Macaca mulatta: one gene and its partners. The protein of the gene in region 1 interacts with the protein of each later gene in a pairwise test. Links are inferred from orthologs where the notes say so. Each region holds a gene or a part of one and is shown in the gene's direction. Other genes may lie near its edges. The genes, in order: NAV2, PIAS2, RBM15 and ING5.

Evidence for each region.
Region 2: the proteins of NAV2 (region 1) and PIAS2 interact in binary tests that used the Homo sapiens proteins (3 or more experiments, as listed by UniProt). The two-hybrid records come from large-scale screens. The link is inferred for Macaca mulatta from reciprocal best matches to the Homo sapiens genes NAV2 and PIAS2.
Region 3: the proteins of NAV2 (region 1) and RBM15 interact in binary tests that used the Homo sapiens proteins (3 or more experiments, as listed by UniProt). The two-hybrid records come from large-scale screens. The link is inferred for Macaca mulatta from reciprocal best matches to the Homo sapiens genes NAV2 and RBM15.
Region 4: the proteins of NAV2 (region 1) and ING5 interact in binary tests that used the Homo sapiens proteins (3 or more experiments, as listed by UniProt). The two-hybrid records come from large-scale screens. The link is inferred for Macaca mulatta from reciprocal best matches to the Homo sapiens genes NAV2 and ING5.

What each region holds. Positions count from the first base shown.
Region 1 is NC_133419.1:45,373,989-45,379,016, reverse strand, and holds part of NAV2 (neuron navigator 2), read left to right. Parts: intron 1-2,834; coding exon 2,835-3,126; intron 3,127-3,817; coding exon 3,818-4,520; intron 4,521-5,028. UniProt on the Homo sapiens protein: Possesses 3' to 5' helicase activity and exonuclease activity. Involved in neuronal development, specifically in the development of different sensory organs.
Region 2 is NC_133423.1:45,529,710-45,534,737, forward strand, and holds part of PIAS2 (E3 SUMO-protein ligase PIAS2), read left to right. Parts: intron 1-3,784; coding exon 3,785-3,919; intron 3,920-5,028. UniProt on the Homo sapiens protein: Functions as an E3-type small ubiquitin-like modifier (SUMO) ligase, stabilizing the interaction between UBE2I and the substrate, and as a SUMO-tethering factor.
Region 3 is NC_133406.1:129,853,164-129,858,934, reverse strand, and holds the start of RBM15 (RNA-binding protein 15), read left to right. Parts: upstream 1-1,954; 5' UTR 1,955-2,825; coding exon 2,826-5,688; intron 5,689-5,771. UniProt on the Homo sapiens protein: RNA-binding protein that acts as a key regulator of N6-methyladenosine (m6A) methylation of RNAs, thereby regulating different processes, such as hematopoietic cell homeostasis, alternative splicing of mRNAs and X chromosome inactivation mediated by Xist RNA.
Region 4 is NC_133417.1:146,981,480-146,987,121, forward strand, and holds the start of ING5 (inhibitor of growth protein 5), read left to right. Parts: upstream 1-1,778; 5' UTR 1,779-1,796; coding exon 1,797-1,833; exon of another isoform or gene 1,834-1,955; intron 1,956-4,356; coding exon 4,357-4,428; intron 4,429-5,642. UniProt on the Homo sapiens protein: Component of the HBO1 complex, which specifically mediates acetylation of histone H3 at 'Lys-14' (H3K14ac) and, to a lower extent, acetylation of histone H4. Component of the MOZ/MORF complex which has a histone H3 acetyltransferase activity.

The sequences.
Region 1 (5,028 bases):
GAAGGAGAATCTTCTGGGTATAGATATTAGGTGCTACTGAGTATACACAAATGTATCGTATACCTGGACTTATCCTCAGGGAGGGCAGTGTGGCATGGTGGTTAAAATGTGAGCTTTGCAGTTAGACTCCCTGAAATCCCTGCATCTCTACTTCCTCACTGTGTGATCTTGGGAAATTTTCTTTTCACTCTGTGCCTCAGTTTTGTCATGTGAAATTGAGACTATTAGCTGTAATTTCCTCATAGGTTTTTGATAAGGATTAAATTTAATGATACATATCAAGCACTTTAGCTTAGTGCCTGGGACATAGTAAGTACTTAATAAATTGTAGTTGTTAATGCTACTAGTATTAGCACCATTACAATTTGATTGGGGGGGAAATAAGTATAGGAACATTAAAAGAATAAATAATGCAGTAACCCAGGATGTGGCATGTGCTAAATTTTCAGTAACTCTTAGAGCATATTAGAATATGTTAAAATGTACTTGAATGTAAGCTCCATGAGGTTAATGATTTATACTTACTCATTGCAGTATTCCTAGTGCGAATCAGCTTTCCTGGCATGTAGTGGCACCCAATAAATATTTGTGAAGTGAATGTTCCAAAGCCAAGTTATTTTCTGCCTCAGGGCCTTTACACATGTGGTTCCCTCTCCCTGGTATGCTCTGCCCCAAACCCTTCTTTTACTAAGTAAGTTTCTTCTCTTTCTTTAGGGTACTTCTTTTTGAGCTGATCACTGTCGCCTGCCCACCTCATTGTCATCTAAATTAGGTCAACATCTATATTTCTTTCTCAGACTCTTTGTCCTTTTCCTTATAATAGTCTTCGTAATCTACAATTACACCCTTGTTGGTATTTATTTATTCAATCTCTGCTGCGTTTAACTGAATCGTAAGCTCCACGATGGGTGGGAAATCAGTCTTACCCCCAGATTCTCTGACCCTCCGTGGTGCCTGGCAGACAGCAAGCATGGAGTAAATTCTGGTTGGATTAATGTGCTGAAAGTGTTTAGAGGAAGGAAACTGACCTGCGGTAGTTGGGACAAAGAATGGGCAACTTTAATTTCTGTGAGACTGAGATAAAGGTATAAGAGTACTTGGTACTTAACCCTTTCTGATTAAATAGAGGCTGAGATCAGATAAGATAATTTTGTTAATGTCTGTTGTGGCCTGAAAAGCCTGTGTTCCTTGGCTGGTTCCTTGGCTCACTCATTCGCTCTTCAAGCTTTGAGTGAGCTCCTGCCCTGGGCCCACATGTAGGAACTCCCCTCTCTCTGTCCCTTGCCACAGCTGAATGATGAGCTTCTCATAGTCAGGAAGTGTGTGCTTGTCCTCCTCATATCTCTGATGACTAATACTTAGCTAGAAAAAAACAAATGAAAGAACTCATAAGGTGTCTGTAATGGACAAGTGGAATTCATAAGGGGAGAAGGCGTTGGGGTGGTGTGGGGGAGGCAGTTGAACTTGGGCTGCCTATCTGTTTTTAGCTTTTATCCCATTCAGCCATTGTATTCTATGGAGGAAGGCATTTGTTCCATTCTTGGATGACAGACGTTAGGCAGATTCTTGCCAGGTGTTCATTTTAATTTCCTATCTTGCCTACTCTCGGTAGTTAAGCATTGCAAATACGGGACTGGTATCTTAGTATACCCACCCTGAAAGCGCTTCTGACCTCCCTTCCCCATTTACTGTGCTGACATCCTCCAACTAGCCTCAAACCCCAGGAGGCCTCCAAAGCATTCTGGTCAGCTTTATGCCTTTTAGCTGCAGGAGATCATTAACGTCACACTTCTGTCCCCTTCTGGGTTTCATGGCCAGCAGGTCAGGGCTCTTCCAAAGAAAGCTGGCTAATTATATCCCTTGTCAGAACAAAATCCCACAAGGGGAGCAAAGCAGTGGTGTATAAATAATGCTGGGATCGGAGCAGGCACCATTGGCTCTCCACATTTGGGGGAAGTATCATTTGAGGATGTGCTTCCCCTCTGCTCCTGGCTCTCCCTGATTTGAGTAGAACCAGCAGCCACCCTTGCTCACTTACTCCCTTGCTTGGTGTGTTAGATCCAAAGATCTCACTGCGGTGGAGTGATGGGAAGAAGGCAGAACAAAGGGAAACGGGCCAGGAGACTGGATGCTGGTTAGAGATTAGCATCCAGAGTTGGAGAGGCTTGTTCAAGTGGCAGAAAATAGGTGGTGGCTGAATTCCCACTGCATCTCCATCTGCTCTGCCCCTTCCCCTTGATAGGGCGCTTTCCTTCTTTTTTCCTGGGCCCCTTTTCCTCTCTTCCCTGACTCCTTTCTTTTGCTTTTCTTTTTGTCTTTTTTGAGACAGAGTCTAGCTCTGTCACCCAGGCTGGGGTACAGTAGTGCAATCATGGCTCACTGCAGCCTCCACCTCCCTGGGGTGATCCTCCCACCTCAGCCACCGGAGTAGCTAGAACTATAGGTGTGTGCCACCACACTCAGCTACTTTTTCTATTTTTTGTAGAGACGGGGTTTTGCATGTTGCCCAGGCTGGTCTTAAACTCGTGGGATCAAGCGATCCTCCCACCTCAGCCTCCCAAAATGTTGGGATTATAGGCATGAGCCACTGTGCCCGGCCACCTCATTCCATTCTAAGGATACATTGATATTATTTACTTTCCTCGGATCAAAAAAAAAAAAAAAAAAATCAGGCTTTCTGACAAGATAACCAGAGTACAAAAGTCCAAACATCTTTAAAGTAATGATTATTTTTCCCTTAACTACTCCAGTGTTTTGGCATTTTTGCCTTTGGAGTGAGGGGCTCCCCAGCCTGGGACTTGGGAAGGACTAATTCAGAGAGTCTCTGTCCACAGACTGATGCTGAGAAGCACTCACAGGTGGAGAGGAATTCACTGTGGTCTGGTGATGATGTCAAGAAATCAGACGGAGGCTCAGACAGCGGCATAAAAATGGAGCCAGGTTCCAAGTGGAGGCGGAATCCTTCTGACGTGTCTGACGAGTCCGACAAAAGCACGTCCGGCAAGAAGAATCCTGTCATCTCCCAGACAGGCTCATGGCGGCGAGGCATGACAGCTCAGGTGGGCATCACCATGCCAAGGACGAAGCCGTCAGCACCAGCAGGCGCACTGAAGACCCCGGGAACTGGTAAGAGGCCGGAGCTGTCTTGGCCCTACAGTTGTCATTTGGAAAACCAAAGCCATAGTTAACTCTAGCAAGGACTTGACATTATATATTTTGTCTCAGGATTTATACTCTGCTAACAACAAGCTTCCATAAACTTTCACATCCCTACCTTTTTCTAAGTGGAAGTAAGTATGGGAGCCTCTTAAGCTCTGAAGACGGTTCGGCTGCTGAGACGTATTGAATTGGTTTAACTAGACACTGGGTGAGTTAATGCAGCCAGTTCAGGCTACTAAACAGCATGGATTTATGAGCTGTGGGTATGGTGAGTTGACGTTGTTCCTGACTTAGGGGATATTTATAAACAAGGGCAGGGGTATCCCCCTGGACATGTTAGGGACAGCCCTTTAATGGACAGAGGGTGAAAGGTCAGAAAAGGCAGGGGGTTATTTCCCCCCAGACATATCAGTGATTGGCTGGCTTTGCTTTATCCCGGGTAAATTTAGACTGCTTTGCGAATGAGTAAAATTATTGACATTTCCTAAAAGGTTCACAGTACATTAGGAGACTATATTATTTTTATAAAAAGCTCTTTCCTCTGCCTCCCCAAGGGAAAAGTGAACCAGCTCTTCAGAGGAGGGGGGCATCTTAAACAGACGAGATGGATGAGCTGGGCTCTTGGCTTGCAGGCTAATCTTGCTGATCTCTCTCTTAGGAAAAACAGACGATGCAAAGGTGTCTGAGAAAGGACGGCTTTCTCCTAAAGCCTCCCAGGTGAAGCGCTCCCCATCAGATGCAGGCCGGAGCAGTGGTGACGAATCCAAAAAGCCCCTCCCCAGCAGCTCTAGGACACCCACTGCCAATGCCAACAGCTTTGGGTTCAAGAAGCAGAGTGGTTCCGCCGCCGGTCTGGCCATGATCACAGCCAGTGGGGCCACTGTCACCAGCAGGTCAGCCACACTGGGCAAAATCCCAAAGTCGTCTGCACTCATCAGTCGGTCTGCTGGTCGGAAGTCAAGCATGGACGGGGCTCAGAATCAGGATGACGGGTATCTGGCCCTCAGCTCCCGGACAAACCTTCAGTACCGGAGTTTGCCGAGGCCCAGTAAGTCCACCAGCCGGAATGGGGCTGGGAACAGGTCTAGCACCAGCAGCATAGATTCCAACATCAGCAGCAAGTCCGCAGGCCTGCCAGTGCCCAAACTGAGGGAGCCTTCCAAAACAGCCCTAGGCAGCTCTCTACCAGGTCTGGTCAACCAAACAGATAAGGAGAAAGGCATCTCATCCGACAACGAGAGTGTGGCTTCCTGTAACTCGGTGAAAGTGAACCCGGCAGCCCAGCCTGTGTCCAGCCCGGCTCAGGCTGGTCTCCAGCCTGGAGCCAAGTACCCAGATGTGGCCTCTCCCACACTCCGCAGGTAAGTGAGTACATTAATGGTGCTGAGCAGAACCAGAATACAGGGAATGGATTTAGTAATTTCCTGTTTCTTAGTTGAAGCACCCTCTGTTTTTCTCCACTTTAGTCCTCCGGTAAAGCTGTTTAGGCAGATCCTGCCGACGGTTTTGCAGTTGACTATTTTCCCATGTTGGGATGAAAAAGTTAGGCCTCTGGAATCAATCATCTTGGAATCAAATCTTAGTTCCATTTTAATTAGCTGCCATATAACCTTTCTTAACAATTCTGCCTTAGTTTCCTCACCTGTAAAATGGGGATGATGATACCTTTTTGTCAGGGTTTTTGTAAAGATGCATCTTTGTAGTCATGTCTGGTCGTAGTATGCACTCAATAGAAGATAGCTACCACTGGGCACAGTGGCTCATGTCTGTAATCCCAGCACTTTGGGAGGCTGAGGCAGGCGGTTCACGAGGTCAGGAGTTCGAGACCAGCCTGGCCAATATGGTGAAACCCCATCTCTACTAAAAATA
Region 2 (5,028 bases), on another chromosome or scaffold:
AAAATAAGCCACTGGAGGTTGCACTAACACACTGCTCTGAAGATTTAAGGAAGAGAATCATTTATTTCAAGGTGACCGGCTGTTGATTTGGTCAAGCTCTTTATGGAAATATTTTGGCTAATACAATCAAAAGGGTAATAGAATTAGAAAATCATTATTCCACAATTCATAATCATATAATGGGTCTAGGTAGCTATCATCAATGGATGCCAAAACTTGACGGGGAACTTTATAGTGGAGGGATCAGGCTGACATCCCCTGAACTCCTAATCAGTCTTGACACCACTGAAAACAGGGCAAACAACCTTCTGTGCATTATGATGTGGTACCATATGAAGTATGCAACATTTTCTCTGAAGTTTTTTGTTTCTAAAATTTTGACCCCAAGTTTAATCAAGCTTATACAACTAATTAGTGGTTTTAAAAATATATGGGAGATAGAGCAACAAATCTCATACTTCGAGGAAGCAAAATACCTAATCTAAAATGCGAAGTCGTTCTTCAGGTCGAAAGTCCTGGTTTCTCCAGTAGAACAACAGCATTGGGGAAAAAGTGTGTGTTTGGAGACGGCAGGGGTTGTGTTTATAGAATAAACGAGACTTCAGAGACATAACTGTGGTGTGGGGCTCTAGTTTTTAATTCTGATTCAAGCCGTAAAAGGACTATACTAAACTACATATGGAGAAAATAGAAAATATATCTGAGATTTGCTTTAAAATAATCTGGAGTGGGGGTTGGGTACAGTAGGTAAAGATTGTTCATGGGTAAGTAAATTACTGAACTGATAGATATATACGTGTTATACTTTTTTCTCTATTTTTGTATATGTTTAAAATTTTCAATAATAAAAGGATGAAAGGAAAATAAATTTTGAGGCACCTGGGAAATCTGAATCGAAAGACAAGGTATTAGGTGATTTTTTAAAACTTGTTATTTTTGTGGGGTTGTAATACTGTAGGTTTTTAAAGTCTTATTAGAGATCCATGTTGAATATCTGGGTTAAATGGCATGTCTAGAATTTGAGTTTAAATACTCAAGGGCAAAAAGAAATGTGTATTTTTGTGGCGTGTGTGTTTTAGGGCAGATTGGCTTTGGGGCCAAAAGCATTTGAAACAAGATTGGCAATGTGGATAATTATTGAACCTGGTTGGTGGGTCCCTGCTGTTTGTACCTTTCTTGTGTATGTTTGAAAATTTCCATAAAGTTAAAAAGTAAATCTGTGTTAGAAGTATTCAAGTAGTAGTGATAATTAGAAAATTTGGAGGAAAACGTTAAAGTAGAATAATTGTGGACAACTTTTGTCACAGTTGCAAGTAGGGTAGGGTGTCATCAGAGCATGAAACATAAAAAATTATTTGAGTGTGTCACAGGACCACCACAAAGTCTTCCGCTGGTGCTGTCCAGCAGCCTTTGCTTAGAAAGCTTGCAGATTTGCCCCACTGGTTCCCTGTCACATGAACTTGACTTTATTTTTGCTTTAAATATGGAAAACTGTTAGAAATATGTGTGAAGGCTAAACTTTATATTTTATAAAATTCCAACTATTAATATATTCTCAATAACCAGGAAATTGATGGTTGGGTAGGGGTGGTGCTGATGGTTAGAGGTAGAATACAGGTTATCATATAACTCAGAATTACCAGTAAAGTCACACTACTCAAATGGGATATAGAATAGATTGAAAACGCTTTACACTGAGTGAGACTAACATGATTCTGAGTTTGCTGACACTTCATTCTTACATGAGTGTCACTCTTCCTGCTTCTGTTGCCCTTTTCTACTGTGTCAGGCTGTGTTATGTCTTAAATTCTAATTTCCAGAGTGCACATTTTAGTTCATGAGTTATTTTTATCCTCCTGACAGACCCTGTATCATTTTTATTTGGTTAACCTACTAGTGGACATACCAGCAGACAGAATTATCTTCCAGGCCCAAAACAGGCAAAACAAAAGTTTCATTCAGAATTACCTAGATACTGGTGTTGATATTCCTTGTACTTGTTGCTCATTGAATCAACTTCTTGAGTCTTTTTAAGAGGACTTTTCTTAGGAGTTTTTTTTTTTTTTCTTTTTCTGAGCAACTTTTTTTTTTTTTTTTCGCTTGAGCAACTTAAGATGGGCATAACCTTCATAAACACACACTCTCTCTCGCACACACACACACTCACACACACTGTCTCTCTCTCTTTCATTTCTGTATTCTAGTGCAAGTTATTTAAGTTCTTCTCTTTGTCTTTTACTCCCCTGCTCAAACATTTTTAATTACTTTCAAAATTTTTTGCAAGTTATAGATTACACATTATCATGTGGACTACCATTTAATAATTACTGTCTTGCCCCTTATGAGACAGTTCCCAAGTTGTGGTAGTCAGGGTGTGGTCCTCTTTGCCATGTGATACTACCAGTACTAGTTTTCATTGGTCCTAAGGTGCATATTTTAGCATTGCTGAAATCCAGAAGTGTCTTAAAATTGCTGGTGACCAGGTGTCAGCTGTGATGTATTATCATTGTCTGCACTTGTACAACTTTGGTGTTATTGCCATGGCGTGACTAGTTAGCTGTACTCCTGGCTTTTCAGTTAACAAATAATTTAAGGACATTTTGAGAAAGAAGCATGAATGCTGGCTGTTGTCTGAAAACTTTTCACTGATGGATTCTCATAAGATCCAGATTGTATCCCCATTAACACATCCAGTTAATGGTGTCAGTGACTTGCAGAGAAATCTGAGACATTAGTGGAATGAAATACAGTTTTAAAAGATACTTTTTTCTCTGAAATTCCTGCTTGTGCATAGGGGAGTGTTATGTGGAAAAATGTATGGATTAATGGTGGAGTGAAAAGTGATTCAGAAGATTCTTATGTCCAAAAGGGAATATGTTAATTCATTTTGCTTCCATTTCTTTGCCATATATACATAGTATTTTCTTTCTCAATAGTACATAATTAAATTACATCAATGACATCCTAGCGTCAGTGAAATATGGTATCTACTTTTCAATATGTAGATTTTTTGCAGCTAAGATATTTTAATTTTCTAAAAAATACATTATTTTGGCTCTGAAAAATCAGAGTGAAGTCTTGTGGTAATTGGGAATTGGATACACTGCGAATCAGAAATGAGTATACTTGCTATTTAAAACAAATGGTTGATGACTAGATAAAAGTAGATTAAAGCATAAATAGCAGTGTTATCTGATAGCCATCAAGCTCATTTAATGACAGTTGAAATGCTGATTATCCTTATTTGTTAACTTGACCTGGGTTAAAAGATTACCATTTCTGTTCCACCCAGAGAAAATGCAGTGGAAAATATTTTTATCACTCACCAAATTTTAAAAATGAAATTCGTTAGTTTGTTCTTTCTTTCCCCTCAATTCCCAGTTTGCTTTCTTTCTTTCCCACCCCGAATATATGCATGTATTTGAAATGGGGATTGCTAAGGATGAATCATTATAAAAAGTTGTGACTTTATCTGTAAAGCTTGGTGTCCTATGAAAAAGGAAAACGATTCATAGCCAATGTGGCAAGATGTCAGCATCTTTAATTTTAATGATGGGACATGGATTTTTTTCCTACCTTTCTGGACTTGTGAAATATTTTGTAACTTTTTTTCAAAGGTTGTTTTCCTGTTTTGGGTTGATAATGATAATAAGGGCTATATGATTTTTAGGCTAAAATAAAAATAGTGTAACTGAAATTGGGCAGGATCCTGTATCTATCTTGGAGAAAATGTTTAATCTTCCTGCAGATAATTTGAAATAATTTTTCTTTCTTATGGTTATAGGGCTACGCACCACCGCCTAAAAATGGGATTGAACAGAAGCGCCCTGGACGCCCCTTGAATATTACATCTTTAGTTAGGTTATCTTCAGCTGTGCCAAACCAAATATCCATTTCTTGGGCATCAGAAATTGGGAAGGTAAAAGCTCTCCATTTTGGGTAGCAGGACAGTGACCCCACTGGGGGTTGACTTACTGTGTTTTTTCTTAAGCTGTTGGCTTCAGCTCTTTTTGTTTGTGGATTGTAATCTCTAAAAAGCAGTAATTTTCAGTTCAGAGGCGGCAGTATGGAGATTCTTAAAGTTAAAAACTTTAGCTCTGAGTTTTCTTGAATATCGTCTCTTTATTTTCCTGGAAAGAAAATATGCATATTTATATTTCTTAAGGTAATGGTTTAACCGCAATTGTATGTAATGTTGTGTTGAGTATTTTAATAAACTAGAAGCTTTGGATGATAAATATTTGTGAAGAGAACAAGGAAAGTTTTATCAGTTTGGGGGAGAAATGGTTAAATGTACACATGTTGTGATTAGAAATAATCTGTTCTAACCTTTATATAAACAACTGATATTTCAGATAATCTGTGAGCATTTGTATAAAAAGATTTATTTAGAATTATAATATTTTCTCTTCACCTTCAAGTTGATGAACTTGACTTTCGGCTGATTTTTGGTCTTATAATGAATTATGTCAATTATGAGATAGCAGTTAATACAACAAGGAATTTACATTTTAGAATTACTTGTTTATATAACTGAAATAATGAATGGAAAGGAGATTTCAGTTAATTTCTGACCATCAGCTTCAGTGTTAATATTACATGAAGCATCAATTTCAGTGTTCCTATTACATGTTCCTAAACAGAATAATACTCCTGTTTTATGGATGGAGAAATTGAGGCGTTATTTATAGCAGGAATTTTTTGTTTTGCCACCAAGGTAATTGCAGAGCTGGGAGTAACTTTACAGACATTGGAATAAATGATTGTAGACATTGAAAACTTTTGCCATGTAATGGGGATAATACTCTTTCCTTATAATTAAAATGATTAATTGACCTAAAATTTACACCATAAATTGGGTATTTAGATATTTAAAAGAACATTAAAAAATATTTAAAATACTTGGTTTGGCAACTATTGAAAGTATTACGTTTATTGTAGAATCAATTGAATGAATATATTTAATAAAATGGGAAGATAGGGGATTTTTTAGCATTTATGTGAAATTATATTTTATCTCTTCATAGC
Region 3 (5,771 bases), on another chromosome or scaffold:
GCTTGTCTCCCTGAATTATTTCTCTCAAATCTTGTGCTCCCTCAACCCCTATCATGAGGTCTGGAAAACTACTGATTTGGTCATTATCTTTTTCTTTGATCAGTGAGTCACCTTAGCAGGTCAATTTAGGTTAAAAAGTCACTCTAGTGCCTGGTTTATTATCTCAATTGACTGTTATATTGAGTAATTAGATAATGGCTTAACTTCAATTTCCATTTGTGGTCTATTAATATAACCCTGAAACATTTAAACCCAGGTAAAACTTTTTCTTTTATTTCATGCTTTTACAAATAATATGTTCATGTATTTTTTATCCTCCAGCATCCAGATTTTTATCTTTAAATACCATTTCCCACTAAAAGGAACCAGAGCTCTCTGGAGAAATGGCTGACTCCACAACTGGGGCAGGAAATGTATATCAGGTAAGTCTGCAGAAAACAATGGAGAAAGGAAGAGTGGGAAGAGTGATGCAGATGAAACAAGATTGACATGATTTGATAATTGTTGAAGTAGGGTGTTGGGTACACGTGGGAGTTCTTTATTCTTTTATGTATTTTAAACTTTTTCCATAAAAATAGTTTAAGGAAAGTTAAAAATGTTATTTTCTAAACTGAAGGAGTAATAGCGCGCCCTTTGTAGAAACAAAAGATTTCTACAAAGAAAAGTGAAGTCTCCCTCCGACTCCAGATCCTTACACCCCTCCTCAGGGCAATCCTAGGAACAATTTCCCACGTAGTTGTCAAGAAAGTTTCCACGAAAATATTTTTAAATGTACATACTCATAAAATACAAATATTTTTAAAACCACAAATGGTAGCGTATTATACACGTTATTTTATGCCTTCTGAAGTTTTATTTCCTATTTTAATACAATGAATATGTCTACACATTACAATATTGTGGATTTTTATGCTTTACAATTGAGCTTCTTCCTTCAAGTTTCTTTGATTTATTCAAGAGATAAAAGGCCTACAGCTTCATATTCCTCAGGATTATTTACAAAAAGAAGGATGGCTCAGCCAAGGCTAAATTTAGGTTACAGTTCCTAATATTAACAGTTTTCAAGTTTAGGTTTCAGCTTTTGGGACATTATTGTTATCCTGAAAAATGTCATGTTTAAAAACACCTCACACCTCTACTATAGATTGGATCTTGGGAAATAGGGTTGAGGACGGGATCAATATAACCTCCGCCCCGGCGCATACCCGGGAGAGCTGCAGACGGTCTAAAGGATGTGGTGACCTCAGCGCTGCGTCCCTGCAGCAACCGGCGAGTGCTGGGGCACAGGCCATATCCCCCTAAGCTCGGCATCGCCTGCACCTCTCACAGGTGCTCTGTCCGCCACAGTAACGCTCTATGGAAATTAAAGTTGTAAGGCGAACGACAGAAGGAGCCAAACGAAGTGGATCCGGAGCGGCCACAAGGTGCCTGTGCTGCTGGCTTTTAACACACAAAAAGAGGAGTGCCAAGGAATACAAGAAGCCACAGGGGGAATAAAAAGCGACATATCTGCATGGAGCCTAAATTTCGCTCGATGATTTTCAGGGAAGAAGCATTACATATTAAAAACAAACATTGCTATTTTACGGGAATACCGGATTTAAAAATCCACACAGATTCGCAACATAAAACAGGCAGCCCAAAGACACGTCCGCGGTGTCCTGACAGTTCCGGCTCCGCCCGCGGGCCACGAGGCGGGGATCGACGGTCACTCCCCTCGGTTGCCCAGAGTACTTGGGCGGCAACGGGGAGCGCCGGGGGGAGACAAGCTCCTGGGCTAGGGCTGCGTCTCAGCCACCTTACTTAGCTCTCGAGGTCCCGCGTGTTACGTGTTAGCACCGCCCCGGGGCGTCAGCGTGACCCGGGGCTGCAGGAACCGTGAACTCCCTGCCCCGCGGGCCCAGGTGACCGCGGGCATCGCTATCCCGCGCGCGGGGGGCGGGGCTTCCCCCGGCTGTACACTCAGCTACCACAGCGACATAAGATGGTGTCCGCTAGGCGTCCCAGGACGGCTTCCTAAGGGACTGGAGGGCCCCGACAGCCGGAGAGTCTGCCCCGCCCCTTGGCCGGCACAGGTAGGACGGCGGGGAGCTCAGAAGTTTCGAACTCCAAGGGCCGAAGCACAGCCAAATACCCCACGGAACTTAACAAATGTTTGTGGGGAGAACGCCAAAAACGCGGGGAGGCGGGGCTGGCGCACAGTCACCCTCTCGCGACATCTAAGTGACGTCGCATAGCAAGCACGTGTTCTAGTCTTTCACCTTCAGTCAGCCTCCTCCGTTATATGGGCCTACCCCTTTAAGCGAGTGATGGACAGTTACTTCAGCCTATCAACTTCCTTGCAGACATCCAATCAGATTTAAACTTCTTTTAGCCGCCGGAGGAGTTGGAAAAAGGGGGTCGAAAGAGGGAGCTCACCGTCTCTCGCGATATCGCTGTGAGCCTGCCTCTCGAAAAAACGCCGAAACTTGGCCCCACCTCCCAAATAGTGGTTTAAAGGACGGGTTTATAAGCCAATGAAAGGGATGAGGAGGCGGGGTTGCTGCTTTCACTGAGCAAGAAGTACCGTTACAGGGCAGACTTTTTGTCCAATCAACACAGCTACACTTTGGGTCACGTGACCGCAGAGTGCGAGGGGCGGAGCTACAGCCTGGCGCGAGGAACCGTTAAGATAGACAACAAATGTAACCAATGAGGTACTCTGACTAGGGGGTTGGGAACCCAATAACAGTGGTTGGGCGGGCGCCTTCCTGGAGCGCGGGGAGATGTAAAGATAGACAAATAATTTTCCCAATGAGACTGTAGAAGAGAGAGCTAATTGGCCAATGAGGACTGCGGGGCGGGACCCTGTGCCGCGGCGGAGTCCAAGATGGCGGCGTGCGGTTCCGCTGTGTGAAACGAGCGCGGGGCGGCGGGTTGATCAGCTCCGCGGAGACGACCTCCGAGGACCCGCAACAATGAAGGGAAAAGAGCGCTCGCCAGTCAAGGCCAAACGCTCCCGTGGTGGTGAGGACTCGACTTCCCGCGGAGAGCGGAGCAAGAAGTTAGGGGGCTCTGGTGGCAGCAATGGGAGCAGCAGCGGAAAGACCGATAGCGGCGGCGGGTCGCGGCGGAGTCTCCACCTGGACAAGTCCAGCAGTCGAGGTGGCAGCCGCGAGTATGACACCGGTGGGGGCAGCTCCAGTAGCCGCTTGCATAGTTATAGCTCCCCGAGCACCAAAAATTCTTCGGGCGGGGGCGAGTCGCGCAGCAGCTCCCGGGGTGGAGGCGGGGAGTCACGTTCCTCTGGGGCCGCCTCCTCAGCTCCCGGCGGCGGGGACGGCGCGGAATACAAGACTCTGAAGATAAGCGAGTTGGGGTCCCAGCTTAGTGACGAAGCGGTGGAGGACGGCCTGTTTCATGAGTTCAAACGTTTCGGTGATGTAAGTGTCAAAATCAGTCATCTGTCGGGTTCTGGCAGCGGGGATGAGCGGGTAGCCTTTGTGAACTTCCGGCGGCCAGAGGACGCGCGGGCGGCCAAGCATGCCAGAGGCCGCCTGGTGCTCTATGACCGGCCTCTGAAGATAGAAGCTGTGTATGTGAGCCGGCGCCGCAGCCGCTCCCCTTTAGACAAAGATACTTATCCTCCTTCAGCCAGCGTGGTCGGGGCCTCTGTAGGTGGTCACCGGCACCCCCCTGGAGGTGGTGGAGGCCAGAGATCACTTTCCCCTGGTGGCGCTGCTTTAGGATACAGAGACTACCGGCTGCAGCAGTTGGCTCTTGGCCGCCTGCCCCCTCCACCTCCGCCACCATTGCCTCGAGAGCTGGAGAGAGAAAGAGACTACCCGTTCTATGAGAGAGTGCGCCCTGCATACAGTCTTGAGCCAAGGGTGGGAGCTGGAGCAGGTGCTGCTCCTTTCAGAGAAGTGGATGAGATTTCACCCGAGGATGATCAGCGAGCTAACCGGACGCTTTTCTTGGGCAACCTAGACATCACTGTAACGGAGAATGATCTAAGAAGGGCGTTTGATCGCTTTGGAGTCATCACAGAAGTAGATATCAAGAGGCCTTCTCGCGGCCAGACTAGTACTTACGGCTTTCTCAAATTTGAGAACTTAGATATGTCTCACCGGGCCAAATTAGCAATGTCCGGCAAAATTATAATTCGGAATCCTATCAAAATTGGTTATGGTAAAGCTACACCTACCACCCGCCTCTGGGTGGGAGGCCTGGGACCTTGGGTTCCTCTTGCTGCCCTGGCACGAGAATTTGATCGATTTGGCACCATACGCACCATAGACTACCGAAAAGGTGATAGTTGGGCATATATCCAGTATGAAAGCCTGGATGCAGCGCATGCTGCCTGGACCCATATGCGGGGCTTCCCACTTGGTGGCCCAGATCGACGCCTTAGAGTAGACTTTGCCGACACCGAACATCGTTACCAGCAGCAGTATCTGCAGCCTCTGCCCTTGACTCATTATGAGCTGGTGACAGATGCTTTTGGACATCGGGCACCTGACCCTTTGAGGGGTGCTCGGGATAGGACACCACCCTTACTATACAGAGATCGTGATAGGGACCTTTATCCTGACTCTGATTGGGTGCCACCCCCACCCCCAGTCCGAGAACGCAGCACTCGGACTGCAGCTACTTCTGTGCCTGCTTACGAGCCACTGGATAGCCTTGATCGCAGGCGGGATGGTTGGTCCTTGGACCGGGACAGAGGTGATCGAGATCTGCCCAGCAGCAGAGACCAGCCTAGGAAGCGAAGGCTGCCTGAGGAGAGTGGAGGACGTCATCTGGATAGGTCTCCTGAGAGTGACCGCCCACGAAAACGTCACTGCGCTCCTTCTCCTGACCGCAGTCCAGAATTGAGCAGTAGCCGGGATCGTTACAACAGCGACAATGATCGATCTTCCCGTCTTCTCTTGGAAAGGCCCTCTCCAATCAGAGACAGACGAGGTAGTTTGGAGAAGAGCCAGGGTGACAAGCGAGACCGTAAAAACTCTGCATCAGCTGAACGAGATAGGAAGCACCGGACAACTGCTCCCACTGAGGGAAAAAGCCCTCTGAAAAAAGAAGACCGCTCTGATGGGAGTGCACCTAGCACCAGCACTGCTTCCTGCAAGCTGAAGTCCCCGTCCCAGAAACAGGATGGGGGGACAGCCCCTGCGGCAGCAGCCTCTCCCAAACTCTGTTTGGCCTGGCAGGGCATGCTTCTACTGAAGAACAGCAACTTTCCTTCCAACATGCATCTGTTGCAGGGTGACCTCCAAGTGGCTAGTAGTCTTCTTGTGGAGGGTTCAACTGGAGGCAAAGTGGCCCAGCTCAAGATCACTCAGCGTCTCCGTTTGGACCAGCCCAAGTTGGATGAAGTAACTCGACGCATCAAAGTAGCAGGGCCCAATGGTTATGCCATTCTTCTGGCTGTGCCTGGAAGTTCTGACAGCCGGTCTTCCTCTTCCTCAGCTGCATCAGACACTGCCACTTCTACTCAGAGGCCACTTAGGAACCTTGTGTCCTATTTAAAGCAAAAGCAGGCAGCCGGGGTGATCAGCCTCCCTGTGGGGGGCAACAAAGACAAGGAAAACACCGGGGTCCTTCATGCCTTCCCACCTTGTGAGTTCTCCCAGCAGTTCCTGGATTCCCCTGCCAAGGCACTGGCCAAATCTGAAGAAGATTACCTGGTCATGATCATTGTCCGTGGTGCGTCCTAAAGTCCATGTGTAACTTGTATTTACTACTTTGACATGGTTCCTGTTTTGTGATGTGTAATGGGATACAGCATC
Region 4 (5,642 bases), on another chromosome or scaffold:
GGTGTGAGCCACCGTGCCTGGCCAGTTTTGTATTTTTAGTAGAAATGGGGTTTTGCCACGTTAGCCAGGCTGGTCTCGAATTATTGACCTCATGATCCACGGGGTTTCACCCTGTTAGCCAGGATGGTCTCGGTCTCCTCACCTCGTGATCCGCCCGCCTCATCCTCCCAAAGTGCTGGGATTACAGGCGTAAACCACCGCGCCTGCCCAATTTTATTTTACTTTTGAGATGGAGTCTTGCTCTGCCACCCAGGCTGGAGTGCAGTGGTGCAATCTCGACTCACTGCAACCTCCGCCTCCCAGGCTCAAGCGATTCTCCCGCTTCAGCCTCCCTAGTAGCTGGGATTACAGGCACCTGCCACCATGCTTGGCTAATTTTTGTATTATTATTATTTTGAGACGGAGTCTTGCGCTTGTCACCCAAGCTGCAGTGCAGTGACGTGATCTCGTTTCACTGCAACCGCCACCTCCCAAGTTCAAGTAATTTTCCTGCCTCAGTCTCTGAGCAGCTGGGATTACAGGTGCCCGCCACCACGCTCCAGTAATTTTTGTACTTTTAGTAGAGACATGGTTTCACCACGTTGGCTAGGCTGGTCTCAAATTCCTGCCCTCAAGTGATCTGCCCGCCTCGGCCTCCCAAAGTGCTGGGATTACAGGCGCGAGCCACCGCTCAGAGTCCTAAACATATTTTAATTATGTTTCTCCAGTATTTTTTTTTCTTTAAAAAAATTTTTTTGGAGACAGAGTCTTGCTCTGTCGGCCAGGCTGGAGTGCAGACGTGATCTCCGCTCACTACCACCTCTGCCTCCCGGGCTCAGCCTCCGGGGTAGCTGGGACTACAGGCGTGCACCACCACGCCCGGCTAATTTTTTTTTTTTTTAATTTTTAATAGCCTCGGGGTTTCGCCACGTTGGCCAGGCTGGTCTCAAACTCCAGGCCTCAAGTGATCCGCCCGCGTTGGCCTCCCAAAGTGATGGGATTACAGGCGTGACACAGCGTGCCGGCCTTCTCCAGTATTTTTGCATGCATCTTACTGCACACCTTTGCACGCCATCTTATTAACTATATCATATTGCTTGCACGTGCCGTTTCGGCCAAGGCATCCAGATGGTGCGGGTGCTGCCTGCCTCGACAGGTGGCAGCAAAGGAGCTGGTGCCCTCACTGGTGCTGGGCGGGGCGGCCGCTTTCCTTTGAGGGAAGGGGCGGCCTTGCCCGGGGAGGGCGCTAGGGTCCAGGCCCTGAGGGAGGGGACAGCTCGCTCCGGCCACGCGGTGCCGGCCCTCGGCTCAGGCCGGGCTGAGGCCCCGGAGGCTCGGGGTCCGGAGGGAAGGCGCTGAGCCAGACAGGCCCCAAGGAGCCTTCGGGAAGGTGGGGCCTCGTGGCGGCCTGGCCGGGATCCTGGCCGGGAGCAGCGCCGTCAGGACGTGCCCGAGGTCTCCGGGGCCACGTGTTGGCGTCTGGTGGCCCTGGGGTCGCTGGCAGGTTCGGAGGGGAGACGCCCACCTCGGTGCCTTGGGCTGTACGGCGGGCGGCGGGGCCGGGAACCCCTGCTCCTCGGCCTCCGATCTGCTGCGGCCCTGGGTCCAGCTCGCTGCACGACGCCGCCACCACGACCTCCGCCCGGGCCCCGCAGCCCGCCGCCCGCCGGAAGCCTAGGGGCGCGTCCGGCCCCGCCCCCGACCGCGGCCAATGAGCGCGCGCGTCTCATGAATAGTGAGCGCGCTGGCACCGCCCCGCCCCCGCCTCCCGCGGCACCGCCCGCCCGCGCAGACCCCGAGCGCGGCCGCGGACGAAGATGGCGACCGCCATGTACTTGGAGCACTATCTCGACAGTAAGCGCGCTCCGCGGGCCCCGCGCCCGCCGCCCACGCGGAGCTCCCAGTGCCGCAGACCCCCGCGCGCCGGGCACCGCATGCAGACCCCGTGGGCTCGGGAGGGCGGCGGGCGCTGCCGGGTGCGACTTGGGGCGCGCGGACGGGGCGGGGCAGGGCCGCAAGAGAGGGGAGGGCGCGGGGGGCGGGCGAGGGGGGTCCCGCCGGCTCGGCCGCGCCAATTCCAGGTGCGTCACGGCGGGGCGGGGCCGGGTGGGCGGGGCTTGCGGACTCGTCCCGCCCATAGCTTAGGTCCCGCCCCCACCCAGGCCCCGCCTCGTCTCCGCCCCCAGCTCCGGCCCCGCCCGTTCCCGGCCCCGCCCGTCCCGTCCGGTCTGCAGGTCGAGCTGACACCCGCTGCGGGGCTCCGGGGCTTGGGGGCTCCGGGGTTTGGGCCCCCGCCTGGCTGTGCGCCGGCCTCTTGTGTGACCGCGGCTGGGGAGGGCGTGCGGGCCACGGGGCGTCTCTCCCCGGCCCTGGGGACTGCAGCTCGGAGACGGGGAGGGCGGCGCCGAGTCGGCCCTGGTGGGCGGGCGGTGCTGTGTCCAGGTGGCAGCAGGTCGGCGCCCCCAGCGGCTGAGCGATGGTGCTTTCCCTCACTCTACAGACCAGGGAAGGCCCAGCGCTGCCCAGCAGACTGCTCAGGGTCCCCCGCTCGTAGAGGGGCAGAGCCCACGCGGGACCCCTGACGTCGGCCCGGAATGGGCACAGCTTTGGGGTCGCGGTGTTTGGGGTTGTGCTTGGTGACTCTGGAGGGCCCTTATGTGGGCGCTGCACTGGGGATCCTCATGGTCTTCGGCCTGGCACTCGCCCAGGAGCTGAGACAGTGGCGAGTGAGCCGTGGCCTGGAGTTGGAGACCCTTGCCCTAGGGGGACGCCCTGTTCTGCCCATGTGCTCTGCTGTCTCGTGGGGGTCTGAGTAGTGGGGGGTTCCCCGGGTAGAAGAGTCAAACCCGGGAGCACGCTGGAGGAGAAGCCTTCTCCATCCTGGTGCCCAGCCAGTGGGCTGGCCTCCCAACGAGGGTTGACTGTGTGTGTGCCTGGGAGGCTGCGCCTCTGTCCTCTAGGGGACCTGGGAAAACACGGGCTGGAAGCATCAGATGCATAAGATAGCGTTAGGTTTAAAATGATTGCCTGGTAACTGTGAACAGCAGATAGGAGGGTGGCCAAGACCGGAAGAGGCAGCCCCCCTCAGGAGCCTGTGTCAGCTGTGCAGGGGGCGGAGGTTGGCCTGCTCTAGGGGATATCAGTGCAGACTGGAAAACAGCACGGGGGTCTTCCTGGCAGACTGTTGGGGATGATTGCGATAGCCACAGGGACTATTTAAGTAAAATTAAAAATTGAATAGCGTTAGTTCCATTTCCAGTGCTCAGTAGCTCGGGATGGCCACCACTGTCTTGGGCAGCTCAGAGAAAGAGCATTTCTTTTCTTTTTTCTTTTTCTTTTTTTTTTGAAATCGAGTCTCACCCTGTTGCCCAGGCTGCAGGGTGTGATCTCAGCGCACTGCAACCTCCGCCTCCCGGGTTCAAGCAGTTCTCATGCCCTAGCCTCCCGAGTAGCTGGGACTGTAGGTGTGCACCACCATGCCCAGATAATTTTTGTATTTTTAGTAGAGACGGGGTTTCACCATGTTGGCCAGGCTGGTCTTGAACTCCTGACCTCAACTGACTTGCCTGCTCGGCCTCCTAAAGTGCTGGGATTACAGGCGTGAGCCACTGCGCCCGGCCGAGAGAGAAAACACTTCTATCCTTGCATAAAGTCGCGTGGACAGCGTGGCTACACTGCTCGATGCACTGGATTTCTGGGTAAAGTCGGGGAAGATCAAGGAGGACCCAGGGTATTTTGGCTTGAGCCTTGGAGAATGCTGCTCCCTGAGGTGGGGTAGCCTAGAGGGTGGGGCCAGGTGGCCTCCTCTGCCTCTGCTGTTGGTTTCCAAGTTTCCCTCTCCCTTCTTTGACTTCTGACAGCTTTTGAAGTGTGTTAGCCTCTTATCAGCACTATTTGGTACCTAAGTCAAAAAATGATATCACAATCCTGGCGCTCCCCAAACCCTAACAGAAACAGAAGACAGAGTGGGCTTGTCATTTTAAACTTTAAGTATAAAACTTTTGGCCAGGCCTGGTGGCTCAACGCCTGTAATCCCCGCACTTTGAGAGGCTGAGGTGGGCAGATCACTTGAGGTCAGGAGTTTGAGACAAGCCTGGCCAACCTGGTGAAACCCCGTCTCTACTAAAAATACAAAAATTAGCCGGGCATGGTGGCATGTACCTGTAATCCCAGCTACTCGGGAGGCTGAGGCGTGAGAATCACTTGAACCCGGGAGGTGTAGGTTGCAGTGAGCCGAGATTGCACCACTGCACTCCAGCCTGGGCAACAAGAGCAAAATTTTGTCTCAAAAAAAGAAAAAAAGACAAAACAACCTTTGAAGGTGAATTTTTGTCCTGCTACTGAGAGGTACCTGACTTCCATGTTTTTGTGTTTCAGGTATCGAGAACCTTCCCTGCGAACTTCAGAGGAACTTCCAGCTGATGCGAGAGCTGGACCAGAGGACAGAAGGTGGGTTTAGGCCTCTCAGTACAACCAGAACTGGGTTCTGACAGCTGGGAGCCAGCAGCTCCTGAAGGCTGGGGGCAGAGGGTTTTGAGGGGACCCAGGTTAGTGGGGCATTGGCCTAGCCCTGGGCTGTGGGTATCACCCAGTGTCTTGCAGTAGGTGTTGATACTTTCAAAGCCACATTTAGTTTCTTGGGTTCTTACACATCTTTATATCATGCTCTTATAACCATCACCCTTTCCAATCAAAATATTTATTGCCATTTTTTTTCTTTTATAAATTTTCAATTTTCAGAGTATGTAGTGTGTGCATTGTTTTAAAAGTTTGGTAGTATTTTTTGGCCTTTTGGTGTTTAACTCCGGTTTTTGTTTTTTTTTTTTTTTTGAGACGGAGTCTCTCTTTGTCGCCCCGGCCGGAGTGCAGTGGCGTGATCTCAGCTCACTGCAAGCTCCGCCTCCTGGGTTCACGCCATTCTCCTGCGTCAGCCTCCTGAGTAGCTGGGACTACAGGTGCCTGCCACCGTGCCCGACTAATTTTTCTTTTTTTTTGTATTTTTAGTGGAGATGGGGTTTCACTGTATTAGCCAGGATGGTCTTGATCTCCTGACCTCGTGATCTGCCTGCCTTGGCCTCTCAAAGTACTGGGATTACAAGCGTGAGCCACCATGCCTGGCCCTAACTACATTTCTCTTTTTTTTTTTTTTTTTTTTTGAGAGAGTCTTACTCTGTTGCCCAGGCTGGAGTGCAGTGGCACGATCTTGGCTCACTGCAACCTCCACCTCCCACATTCAAGTGATTCGCCTGCCTCAGCCTCCCGAGTAGCTGGGACTACAGGCACATGCCACCTCACCTGGCTAATTTTTTGTAATTTTAGTAGAGACAGGGTTTCACCATGTTCACCATGTTAGCCAGGATGGTGTTGATATCCTGACCTCATGATCCACCTGCCTTGGCCTCCCAAAGTGCTGGGATTACAGGCATGAGCCACCACGCCCGGCCCTTAAACTCCTTATTTCTAAACAACATGTTTTAGTTGTTGTTTCTTATTTTATCTCTTGTCAGTTTTAAACTTTGTTCAGCCATATATGGCACATGCAGCTGTACTTCTCCAGTGGCCCCCACCAGCTCACCTGCCTGCACCTTGCTCCCCCATCTCCTGGCTGTAGTTAGTTGGAATTTGTGGTGAGACCAGTGATGGGACTTCCATTGGGCAACCGT